Sus scrofa: one gene and its partner. The protein of the gene in region 1 purifies or fractionates together with the protein of each later gene. This does not show direct contact. Links are inferred from orthologs where the notes say so. Each region holds a gene or a part of one and is shown on either strand. Other genes may lie near its edges.

Region 1 (4,323 bases):
TTTCTAACATGCACAAAGTAAAGTTTGAACTATGAATCCCTGGGTTAACTAATAATTGCAGAGTTTAGGTTTTGGAAATTATTCTAATTTAACTTTTCAGTAACTGACAACTATGGCATCTCCCTGACAACTGGCATCTCGAGTAGTTATTATCCAATACTAACATTCTTTATTGTTTGCTATGGTTTGAATGTTTTTGTCCTCTTCCCATCCCATATTCATAAGTTGAAGTTCTAACCGCAAGGTGATGGTATTAGGAGGTGAAAGCCTTTGGGGGTTAACAAGAGATGCTAGAGAACTAACTAGCTCCTTCCACCACATCAAGCCACAGTGAGAAGGCACCGTATAGCAACCAGGAAATTGGCCTTCACTAGAATCTGCCAACACCTTGATCTTGGACCAGTCTCTAAAACTGTGAGAAATACATTTCTATTGTTTATAAGCAATTGAGTTTATGGTAATTTGTTATGGCAGCTTGAACTGGACTAAATAATTCTTACCTTGTTGGATGAGAGAGCACTTATTTCCTAAAAATGTGTATAAATCTTAACGCCATTAAAATACAGTATCTTGGGTTACATATATTGGAAATATAAAGTAAGTCCTGAATCAAGTATCAAACGTGCTATCAAAAAAAGAAAACTTGTCAATAAAAGATGAGATTCTCTTCCTTTCAAAAATGTTAATCCCCGAGTTCCCGTCATGGCGCAGTGGTTAACGAATCCGACTGGGAACCATGAGGATGAGGGTTCTATCCCTGGCCTTGCTCAGTGGGTTAAGGACCCGGCGTTGCCTTGAGCCGTGATGTAGGCTGGAGACGCAGCTCGGATCCCACGTTGCTGTGGCTGTGGTGTAGGCCGGCAGCTACAGCTCCGATTCGACCCCTAGCCTGGGAACCTCCATAGGCCGTGGGAGCGGCCCAAGAAATCACACACACAAAAAAAGACAAAAATGTTAATCCCTGAAAAATAAAAAATAAAACCACACTGAATGTATCAAGTGTAGTAAAATGGTCAATGAATTCAGAAATATATCGAAAATGTTTTAGTCTAACAAACATACATAGACCATTGATCATAAGGCACAAAAAACAGATATTCGAAAAAATAAAATAGATGATTTTGGTAGTGAAATTCTCCGAATGCAATGAGAGAAATACACACGCTCTTCAATCCATCATGAGGCTTTTACTAAAGACCTAATACAAGTCAACCTCCACCACAAGGCGTTGAAGACCTAAGTAGGTGTGTTTCTCAGCGCCTTTCGTGCAGAACGGAGGCTGGGTGGGGTAGGAGCTCTCCGTGGGGTAGTTCTTCAAAAAATGGTTATTTCCTGAAGCAAACGCCCTGTTCCCTGGGCGAGCAACCAGGCAATGACAGGTACAAAACAGCTTTAAAGACTGGAAGATAAGAGCCGAAATGCAGCACAGAATGCAAACCCTTCGGTCCTCTCGTGTCTCGGGTCAGTGAACCAAGCCAGTGGTGCCCACTTAGACTGGGGTCTACCTTTAAGACCTGGAGGGGAGGCGGCCGGCCGCTCAGAAACGGTAGCAGCCTCATTTGCATAAGCACCCAAACACTGCTGACGTCACCGCGCCCGAGTGCGGACCCCGCCCCGTCTTACTCCACTATTTCCACCCGAGGGCAGAGAATGGAAAGGCGGAAAGGAATGCACCGCACCGGGGAGCGCGAGCTGCAGGGCTTCCCTCGCCGCGAAAGGGCGGAAGATGCCGCTTCTCTGCATAACGGAAAAGAATTCCCGCCACTGCAGCTCTGAGCCCGAGCGGGTCAACCTGTCTCCAGGACAGCTGGGGCGGGTTTTGATCCATTCATATTTGTAAGGCGGGTATGCGTGAGAGATGAGACTGAAAGTCTATGCCTGTGCTCAATTTCGTCCTCTGTCCAGGCCATGCACGAGCCAGCCGAGTCAACGAAGTCTGAGATTCCAGTTCTTCCTACCCCCTCCTTTAAAATCCCAGCACCAACACCCTCACGCCACAGTCTCAAATGCTTGGATGGGCAGAAACACACGGGCTGTGCTTTCTTGGGCAGTCATGTGCCTTGTGCGGGAGGAAGGCCCACTTCTGGACCATTTCTCGCAGGATGCCTCGGCAAAAGCGAACTGGCGTCACGTGAACACACACCGTCTTGGGCAAATGCCTTCAGCAGTTGCAACAGCAACCAGAAGCGAATGAGGAATAGGTTGGCTCCTCTCCCCGCCCCACCGCCCACGCACACGAGGTTCGGCTTCCTCCTCACCTCGAACCTTGAAAGCGTCTCGATCCGGTCCCGACCCTCCCAACTTTCTGACTTGCCACGTCGGGCCCCACCCTTCAGCCAACCCTGCCTTGACGTGGGAAGAACTAGTCTCTTGGGGATGCTGTGGTCACGACCAAAAGGAAGGATGGCGGCACGTTTCGACCCATGTGCTTTCAATTACGCGCCGCCTCTAGGCCCCGGGATTGTGCACAGGTGCACTACCCTGAGCCTGAAGGGTCTCCCGAAGAGCTCAGCCTCGCCTTCTCGGGGCTCTGGGGCCTCCCTGCCTCCCCTCACTCCTGGACACAGCCTGAGTCCTTCCCAGGAGAGCCAGCCATCAATTCCGCTCCCTTCCCGGGTCCCGGGCTCCAGGGTGCCAAACGGTGAGCCCCACCCCAACCTAAACCGTGCCCTTAGTGGTAGGAGCGTGTCCTCACCGTTAGCGTGTGTTGGTCGGGGGCCTCTTGCTGTTTCCACGTCCCGACAGCAGCAGCAGCAGCAGCAGCAGCAGCAGCAGCGGCAAAAGGGTCTGGTCCAGGTGGCTGCGACCGAGGCCGCGAGGAGCCGGGTGGAGAGAAGCGGCGGCTGGCCAAGGGCCCGGAGGGCGGGCAAGGAGCGACTCGTGAGCGCCCGAGTGTCGGCCAGGGAAAGAGCACGAGATGCAGGCGCGCGGGTGCGTGCGCGCGGGTATGTGTGAGTGTGTGTGAGGGAGGGTGTGACGGAGGCGCCCACGTGCCCGGCCCGCCCAAGCGGCGGCCGCCGACAGGCTGCGGGGGAGGGAGGGAGGAGGCTGCGGGCGGCTGGGGGACGCGAGCCAGGTCGCCAGGCCCCGCGCCGCACCTCCCCGCCCCGCCGCCCCTTGACGCAGAGGCCGCTGCGGCTGCCTCGCCGCGTCGTCCCTGCGCCCCGGGCGGGGGGCGGGAGGGGTTGGGGAAGCCCGCTTCCAAGCCAGCAAACCGAATCCGCCTGCCATCCCGTCCTCCCCCAACTCTCAGGGCACCTAGAGGATGGGCACCCGTTACCCGCCCCCTGCCGCCGCCACCACCCGCCTTTGTCTCAGCCGGATAACAATGGCAGTGGTCCGACCTGACACCCTCTGAATGTTTTCCCAGGGTCCGTCGGCGACTGAACTAGAGGAGGGAGGGAACCCCAAGAACCCTTCTCCCCAGCTCGCTCCCTGGGCCGGCCATTTACATCTCTTGCAAAAGGAAAGCCCGCTGGGCATTTGCTTCTCCGTCCACCGGGGTCCCGATAGCGGCCAAAGTTTCTGGCCGCATTTTGAAAGGCTGTTTGAGGGAGCTGGTCCTCCCCCTATGTTGGTGTCTTAGCATCCAACTCGCCTCCCAGGGGTCTTATTCCTAAAGGAAGCCTGACCTCCCTCTTGGAGCAGTGAAGCCATCCTCTTGAAGCCACGTGGAGAACTCCTGAAACATACATGACTGAGCACAGAGCGTAGCCGACTTTGGAAAATGGCTGAATCTTCCCCCTAAGCAGGGCGTATACTCTAGAAATTAAATTGTATGTCCTTAAACTCTGCAATTGGGAAGAAATGCAAAATGAACATACAACATATTGGAGCAGAAAGGTTTAGTAATTTGGTGAAGGAGTTTTCCATTTCCAGATGACTGGGTAGTACCATTAAAAAATACATTTGTGCACCTTTAGGCCTTCCAACAGTCCCTCAGATGCTGACCGTTTGTATCCAATTAAGGCTGAATTAAATAATAAGGCCATTGGAGACAGGTTTTTCATGCAGTGAAAAATCTCCTGAAAAGAAATCACAAGACCTAAATTTCAGGTCAGAACTTTGCTACTAATCCTCAGCTTTTAATGCAGCCAAGAGAGCTTTTCCTCAGTCTCTTCCAAACCCACCTTTAAAGCACTTTTTAAAGAAAAAAGAAAAGAGGGGAGTTCCTGTCATGGCTCAGCGGTTAACAAACGCCACTAGCACCCCAAGAGGACGCGGGTTCGACCGCTGGCCTTGCTCAGTGGGTTAAGGACCGGGTGTTGCAGTGAGCTGTGGGGTAGGTGGAAGACAGGGCTCAGATCCCACGTTGCTGTGACT
Region 2 (3,259 bases), on another chromosome or scaffold:
ATATTGACTACAAAAAGTAAAAAGAAAAAAAGAAATCTTCTGCCAAAAAAATAAGACAAAGAGTCACCCCGACATGCGTATTTGGATTTGCTGATTTTCGGTCAAGCTCACTCCCAGAAGAGTCTGCATGGGGGGAAGCGTAAAGCAAGAAGGGAAAAGATGGAAGGGGCGTGAGAGGAGAAGAGCAGCTGACCGTGGAGGTCACCTGTTCGTAACTTTTCCTTTGGGGTCGACTCCATCTAGCTGGAGAAGAATACACGCTGACAGTGCTGTGGCAGACCTACCTGTGCACACGGTCAGTTAAGGCAGAGCTCCTGGGATCACCTGCAAAAGAAGTGAAGTCTGTGCCTTTGCCCAAGACGGAGTCCACAGGGTCAGAGTCCAGGCAACTAGGCTAAAAAAGAAGAAAAAACAAACCAAAAGCAGCGGTTTATGTTTCTCATTTCCCAGCTGTTCCAGTCCAATAAAATCGAACTATGGCACTGAATTGAAAAACAAATGACCCTTGTTGGCAATGAAAGAATTTCAGCTACTTAAGATCAGCAGAGGGTAGAGGTGCAGGGAAAACAATGCGACACGGTTAGAAATATAGACTTTATTTATATTCGACTGTAAGACAGTTTCACATTTTGTAGATGGTTACCTGAAGACATAACACCCCGATGGTATCATATGGGCATCAGACGTCGCTTACGCTACGGAGTCGAGTCGGGAAACACTTACTGTCCCCTTTAAAAGGTTAAGGCTCAGTTTCCAAAAAGTAATTCTACCCTTATTTTCCGGCTGCAGAAACTGGGAAAGTCCTGAAATAAACAGCAAAGGGCGGGGGAGGGGGGAGCCCCACGCCTCACTCCCTTGTTCTTACTCCCGCTTGAGTCGGTATAATCTGTTGTCATTATAAAAGGCTCCTCCCATTTGAAAATAGGTTTGGTTACAAGATCAAACAAATCAGTAGATGGGAAAGGCCTTAGGTATAGATCTTTAGCATACAAACAAGGAAAACTAAAAACTTTACGCCCACCGCTGGCTGACATAGGTTTATCTGCAAGTTGCCAACACACAAATGTGCATACACAGTTAACTCAGACTCGCTTTTCTTTGGCAAAGTTCAAATAGTATGTTTTTTCTAAAGAGCTAGTTAAAAACATTTACGTTTCCTTTCGACTTTCCAATCAAGTGGCCGCAAAGCTGTCCTTTCTTTTCAACCTTGCGTGGCACAAAACCCTGACAGCAACCTGGGAGGGCCCTGTGATCCCGGTGTCAGTGGCTGAAGCGGGTGGGAGGACAGGGCTCAGCACGCTGGCTGTGAGCAAAGAGTCTGGGGTACTCTTGTGAGGCTCACCCTATCAATGAGTGCCAGACACAACCAGCAGTAAAAGTGTTTTAGAGGCACTTCCCACTGCCTGCCCCAATAAAAGATTTCATTCAATCCACAAGACACCATCAAGTTTTACAAAAGGCAGCATCTGTTTAAACTCAGTCAACGGCCTTACAGCTCCGGAGGCTAATGCTCTAACAACAACAAAAGCCAAAAGGGCACCTTGGGTTCTGCCTCTGGCGTAAAGAGGCAGAGACAATCATCCCCCAGTAGAAAAGACTAACAATAAAAACAAAGACGGTAAAACCAAGCGAGGCCCATCCTGCTCCCCCCAACCCCGGCACATTCCTTTTCCAAGGACTGGCTCTGGAAAGCCCCGCGGGCGTTCAGTCCAGTTCGGAGGTGACAGATCCATTGCCCACGATCATCTTGCTGTAATTCTTCTGCTGCTCTTCCTTAAAGGTGTCCTTCACCTTGGCTCTCTTCAGACCTCCATCCCTGAGGACAGGAACACAAATAAGGAAAAGGTCCTCCTAGCAGTGATTTAAAAGGCTTATCTACTGGCATTCCCATCGTGGCTCGGTGGTTAACGAATCCGACTAGGAACCATGGGGTTGTGGTTCGATCCCTGGCCTTGCCCAGCGGGTTGGGGATCCAGTGTTCCCGTGAGCTGTGGTGTAGGCCGCAGATGTGGCTTGGATCCCGCATTGCTGTGACTGTGGCAAAGGCCGGCAGCAACGGCTAGACCCCCAGCTGGGGAACCTCCATAGGTTTAGGGTGCAGCCCTAAAATTTTTGTCTTTTTAAGACAAAAAAAAAAAAAAAAAAAGTCATTCAAATCTAATCTTACGTCTATCACATCACGTTTTCATTCAAAGCACTATCTTTCAGGTGTTTATTTATTTACTTATTTTCCTTTTCTAGGGCCACACCTGTGGCATATGGAGATTCCCAGGTTAGGGGTCAAATCGGAGCTGCAGCTGCTGGCCTACACCACAGCTCACAGCAACGCCGCATCCTTGACCCACTGAGCAAAGCCAGGGATCGAACCCACAACCTCATGGTTCCCAGTCGGATTCGTTAACCACTGAGCCACAACAGGAAGTCCTCTTTCAAGTATTTATAATCTTCCATATTCCAAAACAGACTCGGAATAAAACAAGCAACAAAAACCTAAATTGCATTCAGCCAGTAATAGTGTCTACGTACGCAGGACTCCTTAATTCAGAGCCTGTGAATCTTTCTCTCCAGTGTGGTGACCACAGAGTCCCGCCTGGTTACAAGGGCTCTGCGTGCCTCCCCTTCTTTGGACCACACAGAGGAGGAGGCGGGAAGAGCTGGAAGACAGCTAGGCTCTCAGGGCCACTAGCTCACTCCTAATCCAGGGTTTTAGATTTTAACTCCTAAGAGGGCACAGACCCTGAACTTGCTCATTTCATACTGTTTAATTTTAACCCAGCTGAGCACGAGTGTCTACTAAGCACTCTCTAATGATGATGAACGGATCATAGGTTAGTCAGTGAACTCAATGCCATCAAGAGCTTCACCTACAAGCACACCCCTGCTTGAGCCCACTGCACTGTTCTGGCCTCTAGAGTCAAAACTAAGACACAGCCCGCCAGGAAGTCCTCGGGCTAAAGACAGACTTCGGTCCACAAGTCTTCCAGGGGTCAGCTGTAGGAAAATTCCACGAAGTAAAGTGAAATTCACAGCCAGATTTGTTTGAGCATCCTGACCTCGTTTGTACTCCGTCCTCCTTCCCAAGCCCCAGTGAACCCTGTGCTGCCCTAAGCACCTGTGACTTCAAGTGTTACCCCATCCCCTCTGATGGCCGCACATCTTAATTCTTTTTTTTTAATTTTTAAATATTATTTATTTAGAGTTCCTGTTGTGGCTCAGGGGTAACAAACCTGACTAGTATTCATGAGGACACAGGTTTGAT

What was found.
Region 2: the proteins of SLC6A15 (region 1) and GPAT3 purify together in Homo sapiens (co-immunoprecipitation; 3 studies listed by BioGRID and IntAct, counting the BioPlex papers as one, with this or other methods). This does not show direct contact. The link is inferred for Sus scrofa from reciprocal best matches to the Homo sapiens genes SLC6A15 and GPAT3.

Annotation. Positions count from the first base shown.
Region 1 is NC_010447.5:97,091,726-97,096,048, reverse strand, and holds the start of SLC6A15 (sodium-dependent neutral amino acid transporter B(0)AT2), read right to left. Parts: upstream 2,853-4,323; 5' UTR 2,696-2,852; exon of another isoform or gene 2,331-2,695; intron 1-2,330.
Region 2 is NC_010450.4:134,911,918-134,915,176, forward strand, and holds the end of GPAT3 (glycerol-3-phosphate acyltransferase 3), read right to left. Parts: intron 1,817-3,259; coding exon 1,705-1,816; 3' UTR 576-1,704; downstream 1-575. UniProt on the Homo sapiens protein: Converts glycerol-3-phosphate to 1-acyl-sn-glycerol-3-phosphate (lysophosphatidic acid or LPA) by incorporating an acyl moiety at the sn-1 position of the glycerol backbone.